Caenorhabditis elegans: one gene and its partners. The protein of the gene in region 1 purifies or fractionates together with the protein of each later gene. This does not show direct contact. Each region holds a gene or a part of one and is shown in the gene's direction. Other genes may lie near its edges. The genes, in order: R03G8.3, kdp-1 and Y73F8A.32.

What was found.
Region 2: the proteins of R03G8.3 (region 1) and kdp-1 fractionate together in Caenorhabditis elegans (co-fractionation; one large-scale study listed by BioGRID). This does not show direct contact.
Region 3: the proteins of R03G8.3 (region 1) and Y73F8A.32 fractionate together in Caenorhabditis elegans (co-fractionation; one large-scale study listed by BioGRID). This does not show direct contact.

Annotation. Positions count from the first base shown.
Region 1 is NC_003284.9:13,086,976-13,097,901, forward strand, and holds R03G8.3 (uncharacterized protein), read left to right. Parts: upstream 1-3,989; 5' UTR 3,990-4,004; intron 4,005-4,140; 5' UTR 4,141-4,155; coding exon 4,156-4,410; intron 4,411-4,461; coding exon 4,462-4,583; intron 4,584-4,627; coding exon 4,628-4,774; intron 4,775-4,822; coding exon 4,823-4,918; intron 4,919-4,960; coding exon 4,961-5,073; intron 5,074-5,219; coding exon 5,220-5,359; intron 5,360-5,406; coding exon 5,407-5,495; intron 5,496-5,886; coding exon 5,887-6,136; intron 6,137-6,193; coding exon 6,194-6,415; intron 6,416-6,573; coding exon 6,574-6,737; intron 6,738-6,784; coding exon 6,785-6,893; intron 6,894-6,947; coding exon 6,948-7,043; intron 7,044-7,089; coding exon 7,090-7,251; 3' UTR 7,252-7,441; downstream 7,442-10,926. Other genes in the region: R03G8.1 (alkaline phosphatase family protein), read left to right, coding at 1-154, 197-305, 352-447, 492-671; R03G8.6 (Aminopeptidase), read right to left, coding at 7,661-7,706, 7,755-7,996, 8,042-8,260, 10,569-10,926.
Region 2 is NC_003282.8:13,298,375-13,306,137, forward strand, and holds kdp-1 (KASH (Klarsicht/ANC-1/Syne Homology) Domain Protein), read left to right. Parts: upstream 1-1,813; coding exon 1,814-2,251; downstream 2,252-7,763. Other genes in the region: micu-1 (Calcium uptake protein 1 homolog, mitochondrial), read left to right, coding at 1-66, 118-178, 352-507, 553-796, 846-1,639; csn-6 (COP9 signalosome complex subunit 6), read left to right, coding at 2,456-2,717, 2,770-3,170, 4,183-4,524, 4,563-4,692, 4,996-5,156; Y67H2A.7 (Peptidase M3A/M3B catalytic domain-containing protein), read left to right, coding at 5,378-5,473, 5,520-5,609, 5,665-5,751, 7,288-7,610.
Region 3 is NC_003282.8:15,512,872-15,525,398, reverse strand, and holds Y73F8A.32 (uncharacterized protein), read left to right. Parts: upstream 1-3,956; 5' UTR 3,957-4,172; intron 4,173-4,458; 5' UTR 4,459-4,464; coding exon of another isoform or gene 4,465-4,724; intron 4,725-4,770; coding exon of another isoform or gene 4,771-4,866; intron 4,867-4,913; coding exon of another isoform or gene 4,914-5,111; intron 5,112-5,158; coding exon of another isoform or gene 5,159-5,313; intron 5,314-6,567; coding exon of another isoform or gene 6,568-6,976; intron 6,977-7,028; coding exon of another isoform or gene 7,029-7,117; 5' UTR 7,118-7,119; intron 7,120-7,159; coding exon of another isoform or gene 7,160-7,406; intron 7,407-7,451; coding exon of another isoform or gene 7,452-7,588; intron 7,589-7,635; coding exon of another isoform or gene 7,636-7,782; intron 7,783-8,208; coding exon of another isoform or gene 8,209-8,357; intron 8,358-8,396; coding exon of another isoform or gene 8,397-8,498; intron 8,499-8,542; coding exon of another isoform or gene 8,543-8,854; 5' UTR 8,855-8,861; intron 8,862-8,900; coding exon of another isoform or gene 8,901-9,140; intron 9,141-9,553; coding exon of another isoform or gene 9,554-9,904; intron 9,905-10,578; 5' UTR 10,579-10,593; coding exon 10,594-10,639; intron 10,640-10,705; coding exon 10,706-10,842; 3' UTR 10,843-10,893; downstream 10,894-12,527. Other genes in the region: ari-1.4 (RBR-type E3 ubiquitin transferase), read left to right, coding at 563-683, 739-1,011, 1,084-1,182.

The DNA of each region.
Region 1 (10,926 bases):
CTGAAAAGTTTTCTGCCATAACTCCATTACAAATTCCTGGTGAGAAAGGACAATCGCATCTTAGAAACCAACCACCTTTCAACCGCAATTGTCAAACTATGCCTATACCTTTCGAATATTGCATTTGTCAATTCAATAAAACTTCAGTACCTATGTGAGTGAAATTTCGCAAACTTGTTTTGTATTACTATCTCAGAAATTCTACCATTTCCATGGAAATCGGTGAAAAAGTAGCTGAGAATGTAAATAAACTTCTACAAATTAACAATTTCACCTCTGAATGTATCTCTATGGTGTTTGAAAGGGTAAGATTTACTCCTATGAAACAACTAGGAAAACAAAACGTTACAGACGGAATCTCTGCTGCAATACAACCAGAAACTGGGAAATTCTACCATATACACAGTCATCGCTCAGATGAAAAAACCAAGTGAAGCTAAATTTAAAGTATTTCATTAATTCGAGTAATTTCGTTATCATTCATTTTCCAGGCAACTGTGAAAATCACTGAAGGAAATATCAAGATTGTGAGCAAAGTCGAACGTGTCGATTCCTATGGAAAAACTGCTGATTGCATAGAATCGGAAACACATCGGCCAATCTGTTACTGTAAAGAACAACCTAAACAATGTTCTTGGACTAGATTGAATTTTGAGTTATTTGTTAATTAATAGTTCTGAAAGCAATAATTTCTCTTAAAAAAATTAGTTGAAATAAACCTGAGGGGAAAATTTGAAGAAAGGTTGTATTAAAAGTGTATTTAAAATCACTTGTAAAAGGCTTGAATAAAGTTTCTAAAGTTATATGTTCGAAAAAATGTTTTTTGCGGCGTGCAGAAGTATTATTGCGAATTTTCCCTGGTATATTGTGCTTTCCAAATTCTGATCAGTACATGTTTATAAAGGTAGGTCCAATTTTACAAAAAACCAAAGAAAATTAGAATGTACCATTAATTACTTTACTTTTCTAAACGGGTCCTACAGCGCTGCAATATTAAATACAAAATAAAAAATGCTCCACAAACACACAATGCTTTCTCCAAATCCTACGAAAACCGACTAAAAATTCTAGGAATTTCATCAGCCCGCTCTCTCCGCCTAAGAGCCCAACTATTGCTTCTATACAAAATTCTTACCGGCGCAGCGCACTTCCCAAAAAGCAGTAACTTTGTTACGCTTGCTAACTCGTCTCGTCGTCCGATGCTCATTAAAATTAAAAATCCCAAATGTCGTAGCTTTTTCTCCCAAGTAGTACCAATATGGAATAGCATTGTACGCAACTCTAGCTTTTTCCTCTCCCCATCACAATTCCTTTCGCTTGTTGATTGTCAAATATCTAAATTCTGATCTCTTTTCCTCTCACTTAAACTCGCGCTCTGTCGGGCCGAGTTTATTTTAATTTATTCATCTACACGTGTAAATATCATAACCGGTTATGTTTTTCTTATCATATTCTTTTTGTTTCCATGATGAATAAATAAATAAATAATTATTGTAGTTTGATTAGTATCGTTCATAGTTCAGACAAAACAAGATATTTAATGTTTCAGTGGTTCATTCCAGAGGCAAAGACTCGATTGGAATTATTATTAACCACATCCAACACTTTCTCGATAAGAACTAGAATATTGAGTTAGAAAATTTTGCGTTTGAGTCTAACTTTTCCACTTTAAAATTTGATAAATCAATAGTTTCAATTATATGCATTTGTTCTGTTTAGTTTTTATCTTTCCGTGGTTTACAACCTCGCCAGCAACATCATTAATAAGATAGCAAGAGTTAAAGTGCCTTATTCTCTACTGCCTGTCCGTATATCAGAAAATCAAAACACAATTTCATTTTTCGTTTTCATTGGTATTTATGAACTATCCAACAAAACACACCCACAAACATACTTATTCCTATTTTAGCTTGACGTCATTTACATATAAGAAGAGCAAATACTTAAAAAAAAACTGGCAGAGCACAAAAATGAGGAATGAGATCAAAAGAGCATTTTGAATGTGTTCTGTATTTGTGTGAATGGAGACGTGCAAACCACAATTTTTAGCTCAGTAACTTTTTCAAAAGTTTTTTTTTCTCGTTTTGGTACAAAAGAAATGGTTTTTATAATTTTCCACTGGCGCTACTGCACCTTTAAAGATCCGAATAATTTTGTTGTGCTTTCTGTCGTGCCTTCGTAATTACATTCTTGAGAATTTCCCCCCCCCCCCCCCCATATATTTTTTATTCAAAAAAATCATAATCCATGCAATTTGCATTTTTAAAGTTCTCTGATAATTTCAAGATATAAGTTCCTGAATTTGCAATCGAAACATCTCAATGATTAACAAATTCATATTTCGACAAAAAAAAACTAAAAAATTTTCTTAATGTGCATGCTATAAACTTTAAGAAATAAGGTGTACATTTGATTTCTCTTTCTTGAACACTTGATTTGCCCAACTTTCATTGTCCGGAAAGCTATTTTGATGCAAATAAACCGCAGACTGGGTTATCAGTTTTGAAGATTTTATACAAAAGACCTGTGAGGTTTGAGGTTTGTGTTGACGCCATTGAAATGTTTCAGGTAAGTTTAGTTTTAAAAAAGACTTTTGAGTTCGCAAGAAATACATTTTCAAAACTTTTACACCTTTTCATTCGAATATTTAAAATTGTCTTTTTTTAAAGATCAATATGATTCTAACTCAGTTTTGTTTATTTAAATGCTATTGTCAAGTTTTATTGCAAATGAATAACTTTGAATTTTTTTTGATGCCAAACAATCGCCATTGCCTCACTTTCTTTTTTTTTTAGTTCTCCGTATTTTGTAGTTAGCATTTTTATAATTTTTGATAATATTGACACAATGTTTTCTACTGATATTAGAAGTAAAAGAATCTATGCACAAGTTCTGTTAGTAGTTAGTTGAACCCCACCCTGGCATAAATATGATTTCATAGTTAGAAAAGGAGCACCGGCAATAATGATAAGAATATAAAACTCATAACCACGCCTAGGAAGTTTCAAATAAACTCTAGCTGATGAAAAAAGATATAATTTTTGAAGTGTGGTCTTTAAAAATTTCAATTGATATTTCCTATTTTGGTTTTTTTATAATACTGCATGTCCCCTTTGTAGTTTATTTGACGTTAAAAATTCTGAGCAACAAAAACTTGATGGATATCACTTTTGTATAGTTAATGAGGTGACAAAGTTCTTAACTTCAAAAATAAAAAATTGATAGTTTTCTACATTTGTTTAAAATTAATTCCACTCGACAGTACATGTATGAGTTCAATAAATCAAAATTAATCCTTTGATAAGACAGGAGCGATGAGTAACTAAATTGCCAAACAGAAGTATGATTTGGATAGCTGGAAAATTAACTGATAAAAATCGAAATGCAAGTTCGAATTCGAAACATATTCAATTCCAAAGAAAACTCCATAGATTTATGTATTCCGCCTCTACATTTATTGTTATATAAATTTTTAGTTTTCAACTCCGGGTGTTTACGAATTTTTGAACGGTCTTTTAATAAAATCTGCGCCCGACATTAATCAAGGTTTGCGTTGAACCACTCACAAACCATTTCAAGATAAAAAAAAAAAGAATTGTCAAACCGCCATAAAATATTACTCAAATGTTTCAGCGACGTTTCATTATGATATTTCGTTACATAAAAAGATTAAATGCTCCCACTACAATTTACAATCTTTTGATAAGATGACGTTTACATTAAACACTTCAAGTTCTTTAATGCAGGATTACCGTTTTTTTTTCACCCATACGTCTAAATGATGATATAAACTTTGAAGTATTTTCTTTATTAAGAATCAATTCACAAGATGATTTGGATAGTCATGAAGTGTTTGCAAATAGAGCCTTATCACAGAGAACATTAATGTTTAAATTATTTGTTTTCCCCACTCATTCATACCCTGTCAGATTTAAAACTGATGTTCGTATTTTAAATTAATCAAAAAGTACAAGTTCCTTTTTCCAGAATTAAGTTTTGAGTTGGTGAGTTGAAAATATGAGATGAAAATTTCAAATTAAACACTGTTCTCCTTTTGAAACACCAAAAACCAACGTCATATTTTTTCTATGTTTTCTTCCGCCCCATGCTTCTGACCACTTTTGATGAGAATAATTTAAGGAAACGAAAAACATTATGTGGCGTCATTTGTCAAAAATGGAGTACGTTCCATGGAAAGCACTTCTTGTGACAGGATGCTTTGCCATGTATCTGGTGTTGCTGGGTTTCACCATGTTTTCTCCACTTCTATCTCCTCAGCAATATCTTGGTTTATATCAACCAATTTCTGGAAACATCCCCAGTAAAGTGGTAATGAATAAATCGGAAGTGGAACCCTGGGATCAATGTGAACTCCCACAGTATGATATCTGGGATGATGAGATATTACCAGTAAGTTAACTGTTCAGAAGTACTAAGATATTAATATTGATGTTGTTTCAGTATCTTAACATGGAAGTAAATCCCATTTCAAACTGCAACAAATCTCGCGAGCCTCTGACGTTTTTAAATAACGGCAGTTGGGGTGTTGTTAATAAAAAAACAAAGTTAATATGCAGAGCAAGGTAATTTATATAAAAACTTTTCAACTTTTTAAAAAGAGATTCAGATGCCATACAAGAAAAAGTGAGAGATACAACGTAATAGGCAACTGGACGTATACACCGGGGCCTATCAATTGCGAAGTTGTTGAAGCAGTTTGTGCAGACGGCAAGAAAGATGTCTACGGGTTTTTGCACACTCAAGTGATTGCAACGTGAGATTTTTGAAACTTTGTGAACTGGTTTCAATGTGCTCATTTCAGACCACCAAAACAACCTACAGTCAAAGTGAGCGAGCTGAAAAACTATGACGTCACAGTGATTATGCTGGATTCTTTATCATTTACTCAAGCAAAGAGGTAGGTGAAAAAATGCATACGCACAGAAAGGTAAAAATTCAGATCACTTCTACGAACAATTTCTTATATGACAAACCATATGGATGCAGTTCTTTTTCCCTATATCAACAAAGTTGGTGACAACAGTCGACCTAATGGAGCTGCTTTGTGGTTCGGTGAGTTGTTATTATTAACTATGATGCCTGTTACAGAACATTCCAAAATTTGTTCGCAATTTCACAAAGTTCTAAAATATTCAAAAATGTTTCTAAGCATACATGTTTTTACTCTTTTTAAAATTAAAGTATCTTTCAATTTCCAGGCAAATCCTTAGAAAAGTTGGATCGCTCTTTATTTGAAGAGGAAAACGTTCCAGTTGACTGGTCGCATGCCTATATGTGCCACGTTTATAAGGACAACGAAACATCACTTTTTAAAGAATATCAAAACTATGGATACAAGGTCAGTTTGACAAGTCATTGTATGCTCACCAACACTTCTGTAAACAGACTTTGATGGCGGAAGACTGGGCGGAAGGAACACTCAACTGGCCAAACTGTAAAGGTTTTGATAAACCACCAATTGACCACCTTATGAGGTAAATAGAATATGTAGTAGAACCAGGAATACTTTTGTCTGAATAGACATAAAATGCGTTTGAAAAACGTAGTACGGCATTGTGAAGTTTTCCTGATTTTTCAAACATTCCAGTTAAAGCTTTGGGGGGTTTCAGTTTTTGAGAAATGTAGAGAAGACTTGGATAGCACTTGTATGTGAAAAAACATTTTTGATCGAGTTCCGAAATAATAATTTGAGAAAACTGATTGTGAGTAATTGCTACCTTTTATTTATGAATTAAAATAATTTTCAACAATTATATAGAAAATTTCACTGATCCTTTCAGCGCCATAGATGCATATTTTATAAATTTTCCACTAAATAATGATCACTTGAATTGTAGTTTGATGCTGCAGTCTTCCATATTTCAGACCTTTCCAAAATGCATTGGAACGTGCAAATCACGGAGAACCACTTACCAAGAGCCATTTGAAAAATCAAAAATATTGCCGTGAAGATCATCACACGCTTCTCGACTATCTTTCCCAGTTCATTAACGCATATCCTGATCAAAATAAGTTTCGTTGGATTTGGGCATCTATTTTGGGTCACGACTCCGAAAATGGATTTCCACACTCTGATAAGGATTTTCACAAATTTTTGATAAAACACAGAGAGCAGGTATGTCGATTTAAAATAGACAAACTTTGACAGAAATCTAAACATATAATATTTCAGCTTGACAACTCATTTGTGTTTTTCATGGGAGATCATGGCCTTCGATTTGGTAACGTTAGAAAAACATTTGTCGGAACATTGGATGTGAGCAACCCATTTTTGGCAGTTTCAATCCCAAAGAATCTACGTCAAACAACAGGCTTATTGAACGTGATGAGAGAGAATGCCCAAAAAATTCAAACTCACTTTGATACACGAGCAACTATGCTGGATATTCTGAAAGTGAGTATTTAAATTTGGAACTTTATTGTAAAATGTTTTAAGTAAATGAAAAAATAAGTTTTTGGTGTCATTTTTTGGTGGAAAACGTTTATTAAAACCCTTTTTTACTGCCTTGCAAAATATAAAATACATAAATCTCAACGATTATTGTTGTTCAGTATCAATCTGCAAGCAACTTCACCGACCTCGACCCTCTGATAATTCCCGGCGAGAAAGGATATTCGTATATCCGGACACAGCCGGATATTTTGAGAAACTGCCGAAACATGCCAATTCCTATGCAATATTGCATTTGTCAGTTCAATAAAACACAAGTTTCCACGTAAGTTTTTGAGTTTAATAACACCATTCAAATGCTGAAAATTATAGAAAAAGTGAAACAGCTAAGGGGGTTGGCGAAGCTGTGGCTCTAGCTGTGAATAATGAAATTGAAGAAGGCAAATTCACGGACAAATGTGTTAAAATGAAAGTTGATCACGTTAGTAAAAAAAAACGACCTGAAGACATTTTCTGGGAATTTTTCATTTTCCAGGTTGTCTCACTTTTGCAGTTTGACCAAAAGTTTAAAGGTTCCATGTTATACACGGCGGTCGTTGAAATGACAAAACCAAGTAAAGCAGTTTATAAGGTATCGATTTACTGAATTTTTTCAAACTCTGACATCAAACTTTCAGGCAAATGTGAAAATTCTCGAAAACGGAGAAGTTAAAGTGTTAGGAATGGTAGAGAGGAGTAACAAATATGGAAGCACTGCATACTGCATAGGATCAGAGCATCATCGGCCATACTGTTATTGCAAGAATCAAAGCAAATTAGAATTGAAAAAAGGGAGATAAACTATGCAGGTTTGATAAATTTTTGAATTTTGTGTGCACTAGGGTTTGAAAGTTTTATAGGTTTCGGGTAAATCGCTAGAGATTGTATGTATAATTATGAAATATTATTAATGAATTTAATACTTTCTTTCTCATTATCAATTTAATTTTTTGTAATTGATTGTTGGAAAACGTTACATAAATATACTTTTGTATAATTGATGAAATACGGGTAAGACCGATTGTTATCTTCAAATACTTCAAATGAATATTTTTTATAATCAAAACATGATTTACAAGAATTTCATTAAAAAATTCAATTGTTACCCTATGCATTTTATAAAGGTTTTTCAGATTTTGACATTTTATTCATAAAACATGATAAGATTGAGACTATATATTCATCTGTCAAAAGTTTTTTATTCCAAGCTCAGAGATTGCATTTCATTTGTTTTCCACCCAGCTTCCCAGAAATTCTGAAAATTAAGTATAATAATGAATTGAAATATGTCGGATTATCTCACTTTTTGAGGTTTTCTTTAGTGCTACACCCAAGCATCAATTTTGGTCCCAATTTCGCTTCTTCATTCACTCCATTTTCAGCCCATGCCACAATCAGATCCATTGTGTTTTGACTCAGTTTCAATTGCATGATTGCGCGCAAATTTATATTTTGTGGAATTCTTTTTTGATAACAACTCGAAAATGTTTGAGACTGTACACATTTTGGAAACAACTCAAAATTTTCGATTTGATTTACAAGTCCCTAAAAATTATTTTCATCGTCAATCAACAAAAAATCAAAACCAACCTTTACTGTTTCGATGTCCTTACTATTTACAATACTTTTGTTATTAGTATTGTAAACTGCGTCCACAAGGTACAACACAGATTCGTGACGGAGAATTTCATTTTCTCCAAATACAAGAACATATGCAATGATAAAGGCATTGTGAAACGGAGTCAATCCGTCTCGTGAATAACGAAAAACATCATGAAGCGTTCGACGAAGAGAATTGACGGAATACCTCTAAAACAAAATAACATTATAAGAAATGTATTTCTAAATTTGAAACACTATTTAGTTATCTTGAGTATAAATGTTTTTAATTAGGAAAAAAGTTTTATATCGAAAAAACCAAACACAAAACATATGCCTCAAAAAATTGGAACTAATATCATTAACTATACAGGGTGGTCCATAATTATGGCGACCACTTTAGGGCACTGTAATTTTGTTTTGGACAGCGAGCAAAACAAGTGAATATACACATTTTATTGGTTAGAAAAAATCGAGCAAAATGACATATAAAACTTGACATTTATGACCACTCCACACGGCAGTGGCGCGCAAGTAGGCTCGATTTAGCTTACTTGTTAGTGGTGATTTTTAAATGAGATACATTGAGTGATTTATTATTTTGATTATATATTAGGAATACCCTTGATACAACAAAGCTTTTCACGAATAATTTTCGAGTTTGATGTCCGGTGACGGAAGTGGCATCTTGTGAAAGTTAGTAAAGTCAAGAAAAGTAAGCTCCCCCAAGTTTTGCGAATTTTTTTCCTTACCAGCCAACGATCTTCATGTTGAAAATGCGAATGTGTTCAGTTGAAATTTGTCTTAACTTAAAATGACAATTTGGTTTTCAATATTTTGATATATTTCACAGAAAACAGAATTTTTGGGCAAATCTTTTTACAACGGACTGTTTGCACTGTTTTGAAAGGGCGAATGGCTACGTAAATCCAAACATAAGTTGGCACAAAATATGTCTATCGGCTCGGGTTTTGCTATTTTGAGTGTACGAAGTCTTGATAATTATTTAAAACATAGAAACTAATTACTTGATCCCATGAGCGCAGTAGGAGACGTCGGGCGCTAGACCTCCTCTAAAATAGAGAAAAATCATTCCCGATGTTGTAAGGTCCTCACTACCTTTAAAGTTGAAGGAAGTTGTATGGTAATTGACTTAAATGACAGAAAATACTGTGAACTTCTAAAAATAATCACATTTTAAAACTTTCGTAACATGGTAACCCCAGAAATCAAGTTCTTGCGAGCGCGTAGCAGGTCGCCATAATTATGGACCACCCTGTATATAAAGCGCTAATGTCTGTCCCTATGTAGTTTACCTTTAATTTCGAAACAACTGGAAGTTCCCGGGCTTTATGGTAAATGTGCAGCCGACATTGATCGAGGTCCGCGATAGACACTGCATGTCTTTCGCGTCTCTCAAAAAGGTCGGGGGCCGCGCCGTAGTCCTCGGCTGGTTTAATATATCGCGTAGCATATGTGTTGGGTTAGTCTAGGAAAATGATAAAAATTCCATGTAAGGGACAGTTTACATAATTTGTTTTTTATTGCAAAATTCCTCAAACTGTTTTATGTATATCAAATATGTATTCAGTTGTGAATGAACGATCGCAAATTCGCGATGCAGTCTTACTAGGAAACCGTCAGAAGGTGCCCATCGGACTTGCATATGAGACCTATGCCATTCGATAACCCATGTTTTAAAACGGTTACTTGTAAATTGTTACCGGCAAAACTCCAGAACCAAGCTCACGGCGGGCTTTCAAAGCTCCTAAAATAGCACTGTAAGGCAGAACTTTAACGATCTAACGAAGCAATTTTCCAATTTTACTTTGGTAGCTCGTATCTCCGCGGATAAATTTTTTACAGAAAAGTCATCAACTAAAAAGATGTTTATATTGTTGTAAAGAACAAGTTTGTAGTTGAAAGTTTTTTACCAAAAATTTTTTGTTTGAGTTAAAAGCATTAGAAAAGCAATAACAGCATAAAAATAACAGCAACAGTAGCCGCACTTCACGCGCTTTTATCTCAAACAGAAATTTTTTGGTAAAAAACTTTCAACTACAAACTTGTTCTTTGCAACAATATCAACAACTTTTTAGTTGATGACTTTTCTGTAAAAAATTTTTCCACGGAGATAAGAGCTACCAAAATGAAATTGGAAAATTGGCCCTTCAATGTTTCGTTAAAGTGCCATTTTAGGATTTTTGTGCGCTTGCCGTGAGCTTGGTTCTGGAGTTTTGCCGCTAAATGTTTACCAGTAACCGTTTAAAAACATGGTCTATTGAATGGCTGATGTCTCATACAAGTCCGATGGGCACCTTCTGACGGTTCCCTAGTTAGTCCTAGCTTAGTAGAAAAACAGTGTTCACTGATTATTTGTTCTCAAACAGGGCCAGAAATTAATGCGTATTTTGTTGTTTTTGTTCCGATAAAATCTCTAATTATGGATAACCGTAGTTTTTAAGTTTGTTTTTTTTTTAAATTTTTTTGAGAGCCTCAAAAAAACACGTCTACATACCGAAACATTTATTGCAACTTGTTCGGCTATTTTTTCGTACATTTTGTCGGAATAAAGTACTTCATAGTATCCTATCGAGTTTGCATTGATAATAACCGAATCATCTGCCACAAGTTCCAAACTAGTGCTGTTTCTGTTTAACCACGCCATTTGTACTCTTGCTTCTCCTGGTTCCTGATACCAAATAGGAATGTCCCATTTGTAATCGCATTCGTTTAACATTAACTGAGGCTCATACAGGTGGGATTGTGTTAGCGTAGCAATGCCGTTGTCATTGGAGACTTGAATCGTTGGAAATCCGTTCTGATGAGTCCAACACCTGGCAAACTTCTCGATATCAAAAGGTTTTCCGTTTGTG
Region 2 (7,763 bases), on another chromosome or scaffold:
GCTGTACCATTGGAATTATGCCTTGGTGATCGCTGGAATGGTTATCCTGATGAGTGATTTCGAATGGTTCGTGCTCTCCTGCGTCGATTTGTTTTTCGTATTTCACCGCTTTTTCAGGCTCAAGGATCAGATCAAGAGCGCATCGTTGCCGTTCCGTCCAGAAGCATCACAAAAAGAAGTGAGCTGCTCCTGCTAGTTCACCTAATACCAGCTTGTGTGTTGTGATTTCAAGATAAAAATAGTCAGTTTCAGTTATTCTGTTAATTTTTCTCACAAGCTTCTTAGGTTTACAACCTCTCACGTGTTTATTTTTCTATCACTCCTGCAATTTTTCTAATTTGCGGTCTTCAGGAAGTCACTGAAAGCAATGGTGAAGTAGAGGAAGTCAAAGAAAAGCCAAAGAAGAAGAAACTGGGATTCAGAGAGCGAAGAATCATAGAATATGAAGACAGATTGAGGCTTTATTCCACTCCGGATAAGATTTTCAGATACTTTGCGACCCTGAAAGTGAGTCACTTTGACAAAAATCTATTTATTAGTTGTATTTTTCAGATCATCGATCCTAACGAAGACAGTGGACGCTTTGAAGTTTTCATGACTCCTGAGGATTTTCTCCGTTCTTTCACTCCGGGTGTGATGCAGCCGAGACGTTGGGGGCTTGATAGTTTTAAAAACTATAATCCTGAGAAGCATAAACGTCACAAGTTCTCCGACCCTGACAGTATTTTTTACAAGCTCGGCGAGAACGGTCTCATAAACTTCAGTGATTATCTGTTTCTCATGACTCTGCTCTCAAGTGAGTTTTAATACTCGTTTTTCTTTCAAAATATCATTGACTTTTCCAGCCTCTCACGCGGATTTCGCTCTCGCATTCAAAATCTTCGATGTAGATGGGAACGGTGCGCTGGATAAAGAAGAATTCACAAAAGTTCAACAGCTTATTATGTCCCAAACAACTGTAGGACAGCGTCATCGAGATCATATAACGCCAAACCAGTCGTTCCGTGTCGAGACAAACTCCGCTCTCGAAACATATTTCTTTGGAAAAGACGGAAAGGGGAGCTTGTCGTCTGAAAAATTTATCGAGTTTCAAGAGCGTCTACAACACGACATTTTAAAGATGGAATTTGAACGGAGAGATGCACTGGATAACCCGGATGGACTTATCAACGAAGATAGTTTTGCTCAACTTCTCCTTCTTCATGCTCAAATTAATGAGAAGAAACAGAAGCATATGTTGAAGCGGGTTAAACGAAGATTTAAAGGAGAAAATTTGAAAGGAATCAGTTTTGGAGAGACGAAAGCATTTTTCGAGTTTTTGTATCACATTGACGATGTAGATATTGCTCTACACTTTCATAAAATGGCTGGAATGTCGATAGATGCGAAGCTACTTCAACGAGTTGCGGTCAAAGTGACTGGAATACCTCTATCGGATCACGTTGTGGATGTGGTGATTACTTTGTTCGATGACAATTTGGATGGAAAATTATCACATGAAGAAATGGTTGCTGTGATGAGGAGAAGAATGCGTAGAGGTTTAGAGCGACCAAGAGATACTGGACTTTTCCGTTTGTTTGATGCAGTTCTGGAATGTGGAAAACGAGCTTATCACGCCAGTCCTCTTCCATTTTATTAGTGGTGCCCATGGCCACTGTAAATACTTGTTTATAAATAAAGCTTTTCATTCTTTTTAACAAATTATATTTGTTATGTTCATAAAAAGTGTTCGTTTCACTTTTCTTATCTTAATTTCATTTTTTTATTCTTTATTTCTTTCTCCACATTTTAAAACACATTTTTCAGGAAAATCATGTCGTTGGCTTTGAGAAAGACTTTGGGCGTCGCTCGCTTTTCCATGAGAACCGCCAGCTTCCAGGCTGTTCCAACCAACGCCGGAAAGACCCCACCAACCCTCGAACAATTCGATCCACTGAACCCAGGAGAGTGGCAACTCGGAGCCGGAGGAAAGATCCTTCCACGTCTGCCAGAGGGAACCAAATGCGGAAACCTTGTCATGGGAAAGTACGGACTCTACGATCCAATCCTCAAGAAAAGAGTTGATACCTACGCCAATGCTCTTCTCGAAGGAAAGAAGTCCGAAGAGGCTGGACCATTCGATGTCGCTGTCAGCAAGATCGCCAAGGTCCTTTCCTACATCTGCTTTGTCATCGCCATCTACAACCTCATCTCGTTGGTCAACGGAACTCCACTTCCACCACTTAGCCACGTCAAGGCTCCAGGATCCTAAATAATTTCCACTCGATTGCATTATCTCTTTTTTGTAGGAAGTTTTATGTTCTGTAAAACTTATGTCAATGTGAATCAATAAAATTCCCGTTTAGCTTGTTTTTCCACCAGTGAATCCAGGAATATTTTCAAAATTTCCAAATCATTATCTGGCTTGAAACAAAAAAACCGATTTCGAAACCAAATTTCGAAATAATTTTCAGAAATGGCATTGAACGCACCAAGCGGGAGCTGTAGCTCGAAGGTGCTTTTGCATCCTTTGGTTATTATGCAAATGTCCGAACACTACTCCAGAACAAAGGTCCAACAGGGTCCTACTGTGAAAAAAGTGTTCGGAGCAATTCTCGGACGGCAGAATGGACGACAAGTCGAGGCGATCAATTCATTTGTTCTGAAAATGGAGACAGAAGAAATGGCTGAGCCGGTTACTTTTAGCACGGAGCATCTCCTTCAAAGAGCAGATCAATGTCAGTTTTACTCTGTTCTTGCTCATTTTAGTTTTTTTTCCCCAAATTTCAGATCTGGAAGTGTTTCCCGAGCTCCAAGTTATCGGTCTTTATTGTGCTGGGGAGGATGATAATCTGACTCCCGAAGAGAAACCTCTTCTCTCAAAACTCACCAATGCGGTTCGCAATTCAGAGAAAGCCGGACAAATCGACGCGACACTTTTCCTTAAACTCAACTCTATCACTGCTGGAACCACTCGTAAACTTCCACTTTTCGCGTTTGAAGCAGACGTGACTGATCAGGAGAAGCATAAGCCAATTGAATGGATTTTAGTGTCGGAAGAAAGTGAACGTGTCGGTGTTAATCATATCGCTAAGTTATCAACGAAACATGGAAAAGACGGGAAATCAGTTGGAAAGAAACACGCGGAGGCTCAAGATGCAGCAATGAGCATGCTTCAGAATCGGGTTGATGTGCGTTCGAGAAATTGGAGGCCAGAAAAAGACAAAATTTCATAATGAGACTTCTGAAAATGCTGTTTAGCGGTTCAAAAATTTTAAAATAATACCTAAAATTCGCTAAAATGCATATTTCGATCTTATCTCGCATTAATTCGTTGATTTAAGACACATTTTCAGTCGATTGACACCTAATTTTGGAAAAAATGTTTGAAAAAAGTACCTCCATTTACTAGTAATTGCGAGCTAAACGACTAAAATATGTAACAACAGCTGCTGCGACATGAAAAGTTTGCGAAATTTCAGAATTTAGACAGTTTTGGCTCTTATTTTTTTTTGAAATTTTGACATACTTAAAAAGTTTATTAATATTATTTTGAGAAATCTCGTTATGAAAATCAATACAGCAGCAAACTAAAGTGGAATAGTCGAAATAGTTTTACTGCTTTATTAGACTCACAATTGACTGAAAACACCGAATTTCATAATGAAACTTCTTGAAAACGTCTCAAAAAAAAGTTATGACGGCTCAAAAAATAGCCTAAATGTAGTTAAAATTTGAAATTTGACCGACTTGTCAAGCGGCTGGAAACTAATTTTTTGAAATCTCCATCTAATTTTGAGTATAAAATTTAAATATCTTGCGTTTTCAACTTCATTTATGTATTTTAAAGCCGATGGACGGCGATATTTTTAATTTTTTTTTTACGAAATCTCGCCGTCCATCGACTTTAAAGTACCCAAATCGAGTTAAAAACGCAAGATAATGACATTGTATGCTCAAAATTTGACGGTGCTTTCAAAAAAAAAAATTGTTTCCAGCCGCTGCAACATTGCAAGACGGTCAAATTTCAAATTTTAACTAATTTTAGGCCATTTTTTGAGCCGTCATAACTTTTTATTGAGAAATTTTCAAGAAGTTTCATTATGAAATTCGGTGTTTTCAGACAATTTTGAGTCTAATAAAGCAATAAAACAATTTCGACTACTCCGCCTTTAATTTTTTTTACAAAAAAATAATTTTCAGCTAATCGTTGCCTATCTCGAAAAAGTGCAAGACGGAACACTTCAACCGAATTTTGAAATTTTGAAGGAAGCTAACTTGCTTGCTCAAAAGCTCAAAACCATTGATCGATATGCTGCTGAGTTCACTGATAGTTTCGAAAAGGAAGAGAAAACAATGACCGTATTCTCTCTGATGCCAAGATTGACAACTCTTCTCGGAAATATGCAAAATGTGTGGAACAAGTTGTCAGCTCAAAGAGCCGATCTTCTCGCCGACGATGGATTCCATGGAAAATCGACAAGCCGTTGGGCTCATCCGGTTCGATTCAAATCACAACATCTCGGTCGTCCGCAGCAGGCAGATGTAAGTTAATGCATTTAGAATATTTCTAAATCCTTTAGGAATGTTTGTTCCAGGATGACGATTATTTTGATGATGAAGATTTGGAGAACGATATGAGTGGACCACGGAGAAAAATTCATGCTGCTGATTCTCCAGCTGGATCGAGAAGACGACGTGTTCCGCCAAGAGGTAGATTTGGAAATTCTGAATTATTATGAAGACGCAGAAAAATTCACCTTCTTGGGGAAATTTTTTGAAAGCGGATTTTTCAGAAGTTTTGACATCAGATACGAGGTTTAACATTTTTTATCAACTATTAAAATTTAATTAAAAAGCACAAAAAAAAAAGACAAAAAATACCTGAAGGAAAATTCTAAATTTACGATTTAGCCGATTCAATTGGTCGTGGAACGATTTTTTTTTCAAAAATAAGCATTTTTGTGCGTCCTCATTTCAAAATCTTCTGGAAAACATTAAAAATGTTGATTTCAGCAATGAACTTCCTCGGTCGGAATTCTGGTATGCAAGCCGCCACGGACGAAATGGAATTGTCAGGTCAAGAGGAAAATATGGGAAGCAACTATATTCCAGACGTTCCAAGACCATCTGCAACAGCACACAACGAGTCGGACGAGTCGAGTCAAGCTTCATAAATATCCTTTTTTTGTTAAAAATTCACTGTAAAAATGCCACTTTTTCTTATTTATTTCATTGTTTCTCAAATTTTTACACCACTTTACGTGTTTTTCATCCCCATTTATCTGAAATATAATGTCTGATCTCCGATTCTCGATATTAAAAAAAGGTTAAACGTTCCTTATATCAATAGAATCCAGTTTAGTTTAGACTATAGTGATTTTTTCTACAGCACTAAATGCTTCGAAGTGTGATATTACGGCATAGTCGAACGATAAGCCGGAATAGCTGGGTGGCTAGAGCATTTCGAAGCGAGAAGGTCGACAAAGAAACGGTTTTTTTTTTCAAGAAAATGGATTTTTTTAAATTTAAAACTTCAGGGATTATTTGGAAATAAAAACTTGAAAACCGCAGAAAGTTTCAATGAATTACCGGCGGCAGTTAAAAAATCAACTGATGCTCTTATTCAGGTATTTAGGAGAGCTCTGAAATCCAATTGAAATCCTGTAAAATTCAAATTTTCAGGAGCTTCTAACCCCATCGCAGAATCCCAGAACTTCTATTCAAATTGTCGATGATATTTCGAATGAGATTTGCAAATCGGCGGATCTTGTAAGCTTCGCTTCGAAAAAAGTTCCCAAATTCAGAAGAACCACAAAAAAAAACGCGATTTTTGAGGCACCACGTTTTCAATATCTAGTCGGAAACAATGTCTACGAAAGCAAGATCTACAGTTTGGAGTTCTACGAAAACGAGAGCTACGCTATCAGGATCTGGCACCATGCCAACTGCGGTTTTCACAGTTTTCTCGAAGAAAATCGAAACAACGATGCTCCGATATCACGCATCGCGCGTTGTTTATCGTTTTCCAAAAGTTTTTATTTCAAAAAAAGCTTTTCTGAACGATAAACAACGCGAGCCGTGTAATATCGGAGCATCGTTTTTTCGATTTTCTTCGAGAAAACTGTGAAAACCGCAGTTGGCATGGTGCCAGATCCTGAAAACGTAGATCTTCGTTTCGTAGATCTTATTTTCGTAGATCTTGTTTCCGACTAGATCTTGAAAACGTGGTGTCTCACAAAAGGAGAGCAAATGGAAAAACAGAAGAAAAAAAACTTCAAAAAATGCGATTTTTAAATTTTGGCGAAATTTCCAGTTTGAATTTCCTCCAAAATTAGACACCACGCCCACTTCTTCTGATTGGTCGACAAGTGGGCGGAGCGAGTCTCTGATTGGTCCTAAAACCGTAAAAAAGTGAATTTTTTGGCTTTTTTGGTCTAGAAAAATCAATCTTACAAAATACTAAAAAAAAACCAAAAAAGTCTCTGTAGTTCTTATTTTCATGGGAATTCAAACAAGAATTTTGCTTTTTTTTGTCTGAAATTCAGAAAAACCACAATTTAAAAATCTAGAAAAACCGAAAAATTCATATTTTCGGCTACTTTCTAACTGTTTGAACTTCCAACCAATCAGCGACTTCGACCACGCCCATCTCTCCTGATTGGTTCGAGAGAAGGCGGGGCGAATCGAGGCACCACCGAAAGGATAACAGGTGAAAAAGGAGAAAAACGAAAAGGAGAATTACGAAACACAAAACCACGCCCATTTTTCAGTGCGGTGCGCAAGTTTTTGCAGAAACTTCTGCGAATTTTCATTTTCAAACGAAACAACGAAGCTCCGAAATAACGTATCGCGTGTTGTTTATCGTGAATGCGTTATTTCGGAGTTTCGTTGTTTCGTTTGAAAATGAAAATTCGCAGAAGTTTCTGAAAAAACTTGCGCACCGCACGAAAAATGGGCGTGGTTTTGTGTTCTCCTTCTCGTTTTTCTCCTTTTTCACCTGTTCTCCTTTCGGTGGTGCCTCGGCGAATCACGTGATGTATAAGAGTGTCTTATTTCGGTTTGATCTACGTAGATCTACAAAAAATGCGGGAAAAGAGACGCAGAGTTCTCAACTGATTTCGCATGGTTAAGAACGTGCTGACGTCACAATTTTTTGGGCGAAAAATTCCTTTTTTAGATCAAACCGTAATGGGACAGCTTGGCACCACGTGCAGACGCGAATCTCGTTTTTTTGTGGTTTTTCTGAATTTCAGACAATTTTGAAAATTTTAGGCTCTACGGTTACTGATATTTTCATATTTTCAGGCTGAATGTGTTCGTCAACTGCACAGTGAGCCCGAGTTCAGAAATGCGGCCGAAGATGTTTCCAGAAATTTCTGTGAGCTCGTTGAAAGCCTGAACACAAATACAGCACTATATCAGAAGCTTAAATCATCAGAAATCACTGAATCTTCAAGACTGGATGATGTTGATAAACGAACTCTCACCCTGTTGCTTGATGATTTTGAACAAAGTGGAGTACATTTGAAAGATAATCAAAAAGAGCAATTTGTGCAACTTTCCTCGGAGATTTTCGACGCTGGCGCTAGATTTCAACAGAATTGTGATCGGATTGTGTCTGTTGGAAAGTATGGATTTTTACAGTAATCAAATTTGGGAACAGATTTAATAAAATTGGAAAGAAAGAAAAATTGCTTAGTGCGAAATTCAGTAAACAAAAATCTGAGTTTTTTTTCTAAATCACTTGTAGTTTTTTTTTGCTCGAAAACCAAAAAAAAAGA
Region 3 (12,527 bases), on another chromosome or scaffold:
TATCATCCTTTTTTGCATAATTTGGTCGTTGATCTCACCTTATTTCGTTGATTAAGGTACCTATTGGCTTTAAATGCACCAAAATATGCAAAAAATATATGAAAATTCAAAAAAAAAGTCAACGTCAGACCTCCTCTGCGACACGGAAAAATGCCCGAAATTGGAGATTTTAGGTAAAATTGGGAATTTTTAAAAGGTGGGCGGAGCCAAATCGCATCCGCCGCACGTTTATTTCGCAAGCCTCGCACGTTTTTTCCGTCATCATGTTGCCTTTTTTCGTGGAAAAAAAGTCGCGCGAGGATTGCGAAATAAGCGTGCGGCGGTTGCAATTTGGCGTTTTTTGAAATTTTTTCGAGAAGTTTCACCCTAAAATTCGTTAATTTCAGCACATTTTGAGTCTGTACTTTTTAAAATTGAGCGTGCATAAAACCAGGCCAAATTAGCGCTTAAAAATATCAACAAAAAAAAAAATTGCAAGTGCGCTCCAGTAAACTTGGTGATTTGGCGCGAATTTAAAACAAAAAAGATTTTTTCATAATTTTCAAATTTTGCTTTATTTCAGATACGTGGAAGACGACAACAAGACTGACTCTCGTTCGCTATCGAGAAAGAATCTACAACGATATCTTTTCTACTATAATAGATTCATGGCCCATCAGAATAGTATGAAGTTGGAGGGAAAGGTTTGTTATTTTCAAAGCACCCGACATCTGCCGGGCTTCATCAAACATTTTTCAGCTCTACGCGAAAGTGGAAGTAAAAATGGACCTAATGCAGGCACTCTCAATGTCATGGATCGAAGTTCAATTCCTTCGACGAGCGGTCGATGCGCTTTGCGAGTGTCGCCGTACGCTGAAATATGCCTACGCCTTCGCCTACTACCTGGAGGCGAACAATATGACGACACTGTTCGAGACGAATCAAAGTGATCTCGAATTGGCGACCGAGCAGCTGTCCGGGATGTTGGAAGGCGATTTGGAGGATAATGATTTGGCCGAACTGAAGCGGAAGGTGAGGAGCAGCACACTCAGATGCGGCCGACATCTTCCGGGCTGAAATTTTGTAATTTTTATCAATTTCCAGGTCCAAGACAAGTACCGCTACGTGGAGCTCCGCCGCAAAAAGATGCTCGATCATTGTGCCGAAGGTGTCGAGCTTGATAGTTGGGTGTTCTGCGAGTAATTAATCATTTTAATATTTCTATGTATATTTATTTGAAATCTATCGATCTCGTATCATTTTGTTCTTATCCTACTCTTCTCTTATATCAACTGACACCCGATAAATATAAATTCTCACTATGATAATTTATTATTAGCATTTTACAAACTTTTTGAAACCGTAATTCTTTTTTTTTGCTACAACATTTTTTTCTGTTGTGACAGCAAAGGAGGAATATTTTAATTACGGGCTCTTTGACGTCAACCATGTGGCAAAAGAATAATTATGAAATTTAAAAACAATCACTTTAATAACTTTCCAGTAACTCGAAAATTTTAAATTTTCTAGAAACAGTAGATTTCAAAAAAAATTTCCGTTTTTATTTTTGTTGGCCAGTGACCCAGTGACCAAAAATGCAGAAATTGCAAACTTGCTCACAATCAGTGTTCCAAAAATTACTGTGTCGCCATTCAAAGAAGTTGCAGAAATAATTATTCTGGAGAGCAAATTGAAGAGAATGTAATGCATTTTATAGGCTGTTTAGATGCTGTGGAAATAATAATTTTGAACAAATTTACTGTTTCTAAAAGTTTTGTTTTCATTTTTTGGATTACTGGGGAAGTGATGGTCTCTATGATTTAAATTTTTCCGAATTTTTGGAATGAGATACGAAGCCAATTCAAGTGGAGAATATATTCTTGTGAAGTTTTTGAAACAGGAATTTTATTTTCGATTTTTTACAATTTTAAATTCTCGGAACGCTTTATGTTAGACATGAATAGTTTTTTGATTTTTGAGAAAATCCAAAAAAATGTTTTCCCAACTCGTTGTGTCAATCCAAAACATTTTGCATATTTTAGTGTGCGAATTGTGATGCACGGTTCTTCGTATAAAGTGGAAGAACTACTTGCTTGAACTACATCTGATAGCTCGGCGGTCCACCAACTAATATACTAATATAGATTCCGAGTTATCAAACAGAATACCAACTTGATAAGGCATTATTGCCATTATTGGCACTAAACCTTTCCACCATTGACTGATTAAACTGATTAGGAGAATATTCAGTACTTTTCCGATTTCTGCCCCCAAAATGTTTTGGATATATTCATTAATGAAACGTGAACTTTTTTTGTAATTTCAGGCTTATAGTTAGTAGTGTTGTTTTCTGAACCTAAAAATTGAAATAGTTTTGAAATAAACATTCACGTGAGAATTTAAATTGAAAAATTGAAAAAAAAAACATTTTGGGGGGCAGAAATCGGAAACGTACCGAATATTCATATAAATATGAAAGTGCCTATATTTTTTAAAAACTTTTTTACAAGTTTTAGAACTAATATTGCAGTCAAAGAGTAAGAAAATATTCGAAAAAAAGCAAAAATTAAAAAAAGTCATTCAGAGATCCATTAAATGAGAAATTTAATTTTATTGGTTTTCTGAAAATTGAATTTTATTGATTTTATTGAGTTTTTCAACAGTCATTACTTATTTCCGTGAACCGTTTTGATATTAAATTGTAAATCTAGGTCGGAAAAGTCACACACACCGAGGAGTTAGGCTTCCCTCATCCTCCCTGGATCAGTCGGTAACTGCTTCGGTCGGGGAGTGGGAGGGGTGGGATGAGTTCAATTCTTCCGGAAAAGATGAGGGATTTTGACCAGGTCAATCATTCGTCCAAGGGGCGCACTTACTGACCCCGCCCCTTTTTTCACTCGTTTTTCTCATTTTAACTTGAGCATCGATTCTCTTTAGTTTTCCTCTGTTTTTCGAACAAATTTTGTCGAATTTTAATGAAATGTTCATAAATAAAATGTAAAATAATCGATTATTTCACAAATTTGTCGAAATTTCGGCTTTTATCGTCATGAAAAATCACTTTTCCGTAATAATTATAGAAATTGACGATTTTGCCATTTTTTCAAGCCTTTTTAGAACTTTTTCGAGTCTAATATTCGCACAATTTGATCGATTTAGCAGAAAAAAAAATTATGTTTCATTTCTCCAGTGTCCGTGTTTCTTCTATCTGTTTCCTTTTCTGTCCGTTCGGGTTTCGGCTCTATGTTTCCCAATTTTCTTGTGTTTTTTTATTAATTCTTCTCAATTTATTCAATTTCAGCTGTAAAGAATGACCGATGCGTGGATCGAGGGGCGGCAACGATCAATATGCTCAAGGAGCACTCACCCTTCTCAACTCGCTTCACGCATCGGCAAGAATTCATTTTTTTTATCACGGAAATAATTATTGAAAATTTCAGATTCCGAATTCTGTGGCTGAAGTGTTGGATCAGAAAAGTGACTGCCGTCGACATTTTCAACAGCAACGGCTCGGAAAGGCTCGCGTTGATCGACCCGGAACCGTTACATCCACAAGCTTGCTGAGAAGAGTACGATTAACTTCGCGTTGAGGCCAGGTCCTGCTCCAAATCATGTGGATGCCTATGTCCCCGCCGTTGGATCCACTCGCGTACGAGTTCATCGAGTCTCCGAATCGTTCCCAGTCGTCGGCAATCGTACGTTCTTCAAATCGGGCAACGCCTTGCTTCTGTTGAAGTGGATAAGACAAATCAATGGAGAGCAAAGTGTTCGTTTTAAATTTTTCTCACATCTTTCTAATAATTAATTAATTTCAGCTATACCTTATCAACATTCAATCAAGAGGGTCTGTAGTTGTTGCTTTGGAAAAAAAGCCCAATTTACGGTGCTAAGTGGAAACCCAACGGCCGAGAATTCGCTATTTGCTATGGTTACATGCCAGCCAAAGTAACATTCTATAATCCGAGAGGAGTTCCAATTTTCGACACGATTGAAGGTCCACGAAACTATGTTTTCTATAATGCATTTTGAAATATTGTTTTGATTTGTGGATTTGGAAATATCGCAAAAGGAGAAATGAAGTTTTGGGATGAGGAGACGAAAAAGGAAATTATTTCGATCGAAACACTTTTCGATAGGGCTCCAGATGGTCAACCAAAAAGTATGAGCGAATCAAGTCGAAACGTGATGGACGAGTGTGTTGTTATTTTTTCAAAATCTATCTTTTTTAAACTTGACCAAATTTCGAAGCACTTTATCTAGTAGAAAAAATCTGTTTCGTTTTTGAAAATAAAATCATCACCAAACGGTACCTAGCAAATTATTTCAAAAAACCAACAAAAAAAACAACACAAATTTTTGGAAATAAAATCCTCACCAAACGGTACCTAGCAAATTAAATCAAAAAATCAACAAAAAAAAACAACAAAAATTTTTGAAAATTGAAATTACCCTTACTTTTAATATAGCTGTTATTTTCAGGATATCAATCAACCAGCTCGGGATGAAACGAGTCGAATTGTCAGATTCTCTTCGTCACCCTCTTCCTGATCGTCATCTTCGGAAGATGAGTTCTGCGTGTCCACTTCGTCAGGTAAGTATGACTCCAAAGTGCCACCACAGCTGGGGCAACCATCATGTGAGCAGACGAAGTGTACGGGCAGCTTGCATGTAGAGCATCGGAGCCATTCAGTGACGATTGATTCGAAGTCTGTCTCGTGAATATCCGAATCAAGAACGGGATCCGCCTAAATAAAATAAAATTTTAAAAACATAGGTTGAATTGAATTTTACAAAGTGGCATTTGCTGCAAATAGACACGTCTTTCTTGGGTGGCAAAGAAGAAGCTAGAAGTTTATTCGATCGCTTTCTGTCTCCCTTTTTGCGTCGCTGAAATTTAATAGAAAATACTTAATAGTTCAAAATTTGGTAAGTACCACAATACGATTCATAGTCTGCGTTGCTGTTCTATATGGAAGATGAGCATCTCGGCGAACTGTTAAGACCTGGCTGGTTCCAGGAGTATTCTTGTTCGCTTCACGAACAATTTCGAGATTTTTTCGCATAGTTTCCAGGGACTCGGCGCTACTTGACTTCTTATATTGCCTCATCTTCCTACACAACACGTCATTTTCCTATAAAAAAATACATTTCAAATACTAAACCATCATAGTTTTACAACCTGCATAAATTCATTGTACAATTTTTCAGCCTCATACGTGAAGCCCATCGTCGAAGGTGCATTGAATGGTTGATGTGGAGCTGGAAGAGGGATGTTTTGGAATGGCTCCATGTCCATATCATCACGGTCAGTTGCAGGCGTGTTGGTCTCATTTTCTAAAAACAGTAGATGTATATTAGAGCCTATAAAGATGCAACAGAATTTTTTTTGGAATAAAAATTATAAATTTTTTTACAGGGTGGGCCAAAAGTATGGTAACACATGAAGCGCTCTTTTACATGAGCTTTTCGCGCGACTGCCACGTCATACGTACATTCTTCTATCGAATACTGATAGCTGAATAAATGTCCTTCAATTTGACTCAAAATTTGTAATGTTTCCCAATAAGGTGCGATCTTTATCACCTCGACAATTTGGCGAACCCTTTCGAAAAAACGGTAATTTGGCACGCGGCACTTCCCACACAAACACACCTCCCACGCACGCCAATAATTTTCAGATGTATGATTTTTATGTTAAATTTAAAATTAAAGAAGTGAAGAAGCGTTTTTGATTGTTTTTGTAGCATATAAAAATTTTCTGTGTCGACACTGGCGCCTAGCAAGAACCTTTGAATATTTCATGAATTCAACTTTGCGAAATTTACTCAGTTTTTTTGGTTTCGCAAGGCGTAACGACCCACAAAATCATCCGAGCTCAATTTTCTGAAAAAATTCTGGAAAGTCAGGTCAAAACGTCTCGAAAAATACTAAAATGAATTTTTCTGCATACTGCTACTCGCCGCTCACATCCATCTTTCTGGCGACTATGCCATTCAAGACTTAACCTACTGCCGCAGTCCATGACAGAAATACCGTGATAGAAATTATTTGGATTTTTGTTTTTAAAGAATCTCTAGACCAAGAGCATTCTTTGAACTATAAAAACTTGTAAGACACTTGATGGATTCCTCGAGAAAAATGTAGAAATCCCGCAGAATGCCGACTTGCGTGTATAAAGGTCGTGATCTAAAAAGTTCTGAAGGCCTGCAGCGATGCGGATGGGAATATTTTGAAAATTCAAAACGTTCATCTGGTCAGTATTTTATGGAGAACAAAACTTGTACAAATTGATGTAATAACTCTCCACTAGTAAAGTTATAGAGCTGCAAACGTGTTACCATACTTTTGGCCCACCCTGTAAAATTAAAATTATGGATTTTTTTTTGGAATAAATATAGTGGTACTTTTTGGAATAAAAATTGTGGAATTTTTTTTGAATAAAAATAGTGATATATTTTGGAATAAAAATAGTGATATTTTTTGGAATTAATAATATGGAATTTTTTTTAATTAAAAATATGGAATTTTTTTGGAAAAAAAAGTAATTTTTTTTGGAATTAAATTTTTGTGGAATCAAAAATTACTAACCTAACAAATGGCCTGATGCAATTGCCATATGGACATGTTTGCAGCTTACACCACTTTTCTGGCCAGGACAAGTACAAAGGAAACGTGTCCAGCAAGCTCCACAGGAACAGTGACAGTTCTCGTCCTTGGCACAAGAGCATCCCAGTAAGTCTTCAACAGTGTAAACTTTTCCAGAAGCTTTAGCCTCAATTTCGAAATCTCCTTTCTCGTTTTGTGAGAGGATGTAATCCTCAGCTTGAAGCTTAGCCTTGGCACAATTTCGCAAATTTTGCGCTTTACGGGCTGAAGCGGTTTTCAAACATCGTCCTGACTGCTTAGCAAGTTTGCGAACCACCCATTCAAAAGCATCATATAACACTTTCAACAAGGCATCAATTCGAATATTCGTGTGGAGTTGCAGGTGTTCTTTCTGAAAAATAAGCCAAAAATATTATCAGTTTTTAATCTCTTTAAAAAATTACTTTCAGAGCTGCGTGCCAACTTTCGCTGAACATCGACGTCTGGAAAGGAGCTCCACGACGAAAGCAACCAGCCCACAACTTATCATAATCTGTAAGTTTTATTTACTTCAACTGAAAATTAAATAAAAAACCTAAATGACTTCTTCTGAAGTAATCCGCGTATTGTTTGCCGTTCTCACAATCATTTTCCAAATGTTCCAATAGTGTAGCCAAAAGATTTTCATACTTTGCTTTCGTAGGCTCTCCCATCATCGATGTCAGAGTTCCTTTAACTGTCTCAGCCTCGCATTTTGGAAGAAGTTTGTCAGCATTTTCGAAGAGAGCTCTTTGCACGTGCCAGATGCACCAGAGTCGCTGAGTTTTGTGATTTTTGAGAACCTGAAAAACGTAAACTTTAAAGCTGAAATCTAAAACCTATCTGACACAGTTATATCCATTCCAGAAAGCATGTGCTTCATCTGACATGAAGTATTGTGGATGAAAGTCTGGAATTTCTTTAACAATGCATTCAAATAATTGCTTGACATCTTCCTGGGTTACTGTAGATGAGATCATATAGGCTGAAACTTCCATGCGCTTAGCTCTTTCGTACACTTAGAAAACTTACCGACTGGAATTCCACGACCATGACCATTTACTACCAGCATTGTTGTGAGCTTGAGATTGTATTTAGATGGGTTGTGAGTGTCATCAATACAGATTCCATCGTTCCCGTATCTCTCGCACAGCTCTTTTTGGTCAGGTGTCATAACAACTGCAATAAAATGGAGGAATAAAAAACCGAGTTTTTACTTCATACTAATCTTTTGTCGATAAATTCGGCAAAACAGCCTTTTGTCCATTTGCCGATTTGCCGGAAATTTTCAAATCCGGCAAAACGGCAAATTACCATAAATTTTCAAATCCGGCAAAACGGCAAATTACCATAAATTTTCAAATCCGGCAAAACGGCAAATTACCATAAATTTTCAAATCCGGCAAAACGACAAATTACCATAAATTTTCAAATCCGGCAAAACGGCAAATTACCATAAATTTTCAAATCCGGCAAAACGGCAAATTACCATAAATTTTCAAATCCGGCAAAACGGCAAATTACCATAAATTTTCAAATCCGGCAAAACGACAAATTACCATAAATTTTCAAATCCGGCAAGTGCCGCCCACCCCTGCAACATACCCATTAAAAAACCTGCTCCATCATCTCTTGGTGGTGAGAAAAACCTGATGCCATCTTCCGGCCAATTTCTATCCACTCTTTTTTGCAAAGAAATGAAATCATTTTCATCGAGGCGGCCTTCGGCAAGGTTGTACTTTTTTCGCAAGTACCTAAAACAATTTTTCAAAAATAATTTATTTTTTTCTTACCTCAAATCAGATGGTACTATATTTGCAAGTCGGCTTGTCAGATCGTACTCCTTATCACATTTACGAATAATTTGAACATTCGAAAACCCGTCTTTCATGAACCTTTAAAAAATCATCTTCAAATAATTCTAAACCAAATAGCGTACCGAACAAGTTTTGAAATTTCTTGCTCATTGAGCAGCCGGAAGCCTGGACGTTTTTCGTGTCCGTAGTGCTCGAAATATCCCACCGCTTGAATAGTTCCACTCAATACATCTTTTTTATATAGACAGAAACGATGGACAATGATGAGATCCAGTCATTTTCCTTGATGGGCCCACGAGCATCTTCTTGGCAGTCGAGTTGTAGTGACCTTCATGACGGCAAATACGATACACAGCGAGTCGACTCGACATGTCCTCGCTAGATCGAACTCGGAAGCTGGTGCAAGAATCTCGCTCTCGCACACTCAGCCAGTTCTGAACAGTGGGTTGTTTTTTCGAAATTACATTAAAAACAGTTCACCTGGAATTCTACCGTAGTTTGAAAGTTAGTATATTCAACTTCCGATTCGGGCTCATGAAATTCTGAAAAGTGCTGAGCCAGTTCCAATCGAGTTGCAAAATTCGAGCCGCAGTCTTCAACAGGGCATAGAACGGTCCCCTTTGCAGAATTTTCGTCAGCGTTTTTAGACTTGTTACGTGGGGCGGCGGATTGCTGTCGCAAGGTCACAGAACGGTGCTCAGAAGCCGATACACAAATCTTCTGTTAAAATTCCATAATTTTTGTTCCAAAAAAAAAACCATAATTTTTGTTCCAAAAAATTTCAAAAAAAATACCATAATTTTTAGTTCCAAAAAATACCATAATTTTTGTTCCAAAAAAAAAAGACCATAATTTTTGTTCCAAAAAATTCCATAATTTTTATTCCAAAAAAAAATTATTTTATTACTAAAAAAAATCTATATATTTTATTCCAAAAAAAATCAAAAAATTTTATTCCAAAAAATTCAATATATTTTATTCCAAAAAAATCAATATATTTTTTTCCAAAAAAAAATCACTAAATTTTATTCCAAAATTATCAATTTAATTTATTCCAAAAAATCGGTATCTCTTGTGACAAGAATCACCTGTGGTTAGGCAAAACAATATTCATAATAACATTAAAAAAGTACCTTTGCTGGGGGTGGCTGTATCGCCGTTGGAGGTGGTGGCAGAACGATAATATCATCCTCGAGTGAAATTGTAGCAGGATCTACAGGCGCATCGGGGAGATTTGTAACTTTTGGATGCTTTCTTCTTCGATGCGTCACTAATCCATTCTTGGACGGTAGAGTCAATCCACATGTGGTGCACTCCCAAGCCACACCCCCATTTCGATCCACGGACCTGCTCAAAGCAAGTTGCTTTTTGAATTCCTTTATGTCTTCATCTGTTGCATTGTGAATCGAACCGAGATGTCTGGTGACGTTATTCAGCAGGGTTGACTTGTAATCGCATTTGTCACACAGGATATAGCTAGCCATTTTCTTTAAACAATGATAAATTTTCATAAAAAATAATAGATTTTCGTTCAAAACCGATAAAATTTCTTTTTAAAAAATGATACATTTTCTGAAACAACAATAATTTTTTGGAAAACTCAATAAATTTTCCAAAAAATAATAAATTTACGGAAAAATCGATGAATTTTCGGTAAAAATCGATAAATTTTCGGTAAAAATAATAAATTTTCGGAAAAATCTATAAATATTCTGTTTAAAAAAATAAATTTTCGGAAAAAAATCGAAAAATTTTTCTTTCGAAAATAATTTCGGAAATACGATTCCTACTGTATTAGGGAAACACTAAATTCTGAGAATGCGTACTGCGCAACATATTTGACGCGCAAAATATCTTGTGGCGAAAAATATCTCGTAGCGGAAACCGCAGCAATTCGTTCAACGATTACTGTAGAGCTGTTGATTTACTGGCTAGACTTTAGAAACGAATTTATTTTCGATATTGAATTTTTCGTTGGTTTTTGCCATTTCGATACTTCAAAAAATCGTCAATAAGTTACAAAAGCAATACAAAATGGGACCAACGCTACAGTAGTCATTTAAAGAATTTTTGTAGTTTTCGCTACGAGATATTTGTTTGTTGCGCAAAACGTATTCTCAGAATTTAGTGTTCCCATAATATTATTTCTCACTTCCAGATCATCGACGCCAGGATGCTGCTTTCTCCGCCAACCAACTGCCGTTTTTTTTGTTTTCTCTGTAAGTTTGCTCTGTGCTGTTCCGTTTTTCAAATTCCCCTGTGTTAGTTCAATTACAAAATTTCAGATTTCCCGAAGGTTTCCAGCTCATCTTGGGAAGAAGATGGATTCGACGCCAGGACCCTCCTCTCCACTCCGACCGACTCTTCTGGTTTTTCCCTGTACGTTTTCTCTGTATTGTTCTGTTTTTCAAATCTTCTTTGAAACTTTAAAAAAAAACAGAAGATCATTAAATAAATTTTATTAAAGAACATTTTTAAGCAAATTTAAAAAAAGATAAAATTTAAGCTTTTTCTTTATTCTCCAGCTGTCATGTTGTAAATGAACGGGAGCCGGTGAGCCGATGAAAGATCATTCCAGTTTGAGAAGTACTCGATTAGTAGGCCTTGATCTCCATCATCGAATGAGCCGGACGAGGTGGCGAGAGCGAGAAGAGCTCCTGAAAATTAAAAATTGGAATAAAATTCAATTTTTCATTTAAAAAAACTTACGATAGACGGTGAGCGACGGCGTGAACACGAAAACTCCCGAATTGAACATATCCGGCCATCCGATATCGGCGGCGGCAGAGAAGTCGGGTCTTTCGAAGAGTTCATCACAGTTCCTGATGATCATGGTGTCAGCATCCAAGAAAACAGCCTTCGAGTATTGAGTGAGACGCCAGCAGTGGAATTTGGTGAAGGTCACACTAGATCCGGGCGGCCGATCAACGAGAGATTCTCCGAGTCGTTGCTGTTGAAGAAGTCGACGATATTCACTTCGTCGAATTTGTTCTCCAACTCTTCACGGACAGAATTCGAAATCTGGAATTTAATTTAATTAATTATTTAATAAGATTTTTTTTTATTGAAAAATCACCTCATTAGTGATCAAACAATGAATTCTTCCGTTGCCGATGCGTGAAGCGAGTTGAGAAGGGTGAGTGCTCCTTGAGCATATTGATCGTTGCCGCCCCTCGATCCACGCATCGGTCATTCTTTACAGCTGAAATTGAATAAATTGAGAAGAATTAATAAAAAAACACAAGAAAATTGGGAAAAATAGAGCCGAAACCCGAACGGACAGAAAAGGAAACAGATAGAAGAAACACGGACACTGGAGAAATGAAACATAATTTTTTTTTCTGCTAAATCGATCAAATTGTGCGAATATTAGACTCGAAAAAGTTCTAAAAAGGCTTGAAAAAATGGCAAAATCGTCAATTTCTATAATTATTACGGAAAAGTGATTTTTCATGACGATAAAAGCCGAAATTTCGACAAATTTGTGAAATAATCGATTATTTTACATATTATTTATGAACATTTCATTAAAATTCGACAAAATTTGTTCGAAAAACAGAGGAAAACTAAAGAGAACCGATGCTCAAGTTAAAATGAGAAAAACGAGTGAAAAAAGGGGGGGGGGGGGTCAGTAAGTGCGCCCCTTGGACGAATGATTGACCAGGTCAAAATCCCTCATCTTCTTCCGGAATTCCATAATTTTTATTTTTGTTTTTTTGCGCCTACTAGTACCTGTGAAAATTGTAACTCGACACAAAAACCTTTCTAGCGCGGCTTTAAGTTACTTTCCTGTCCCAAAAACTCACCTATAATATTTTTAAAAAATCTAGAATCCAAATCTATCAAAACATTTCCGGAATTCCATAATTTTTATTTTTGTTTTTTTGCGCCTACTAGTACCTGTGAAAATTGTAACTCGACACAAAAACCTTTCTAGCGCGGCTTTAAGTTACTTTCCTGTCCCAAAAACTCACCTATAATATTTTTAAAAAATCTAGAATCCAAATCTATCAAAACATTTCCGGAATTCCATAATTTTTATTTTTGTTTCTTTGTGCCTACTAGTACCTGTGAAAATTGTAACTCGACACAAAAACCTTTCTAGCG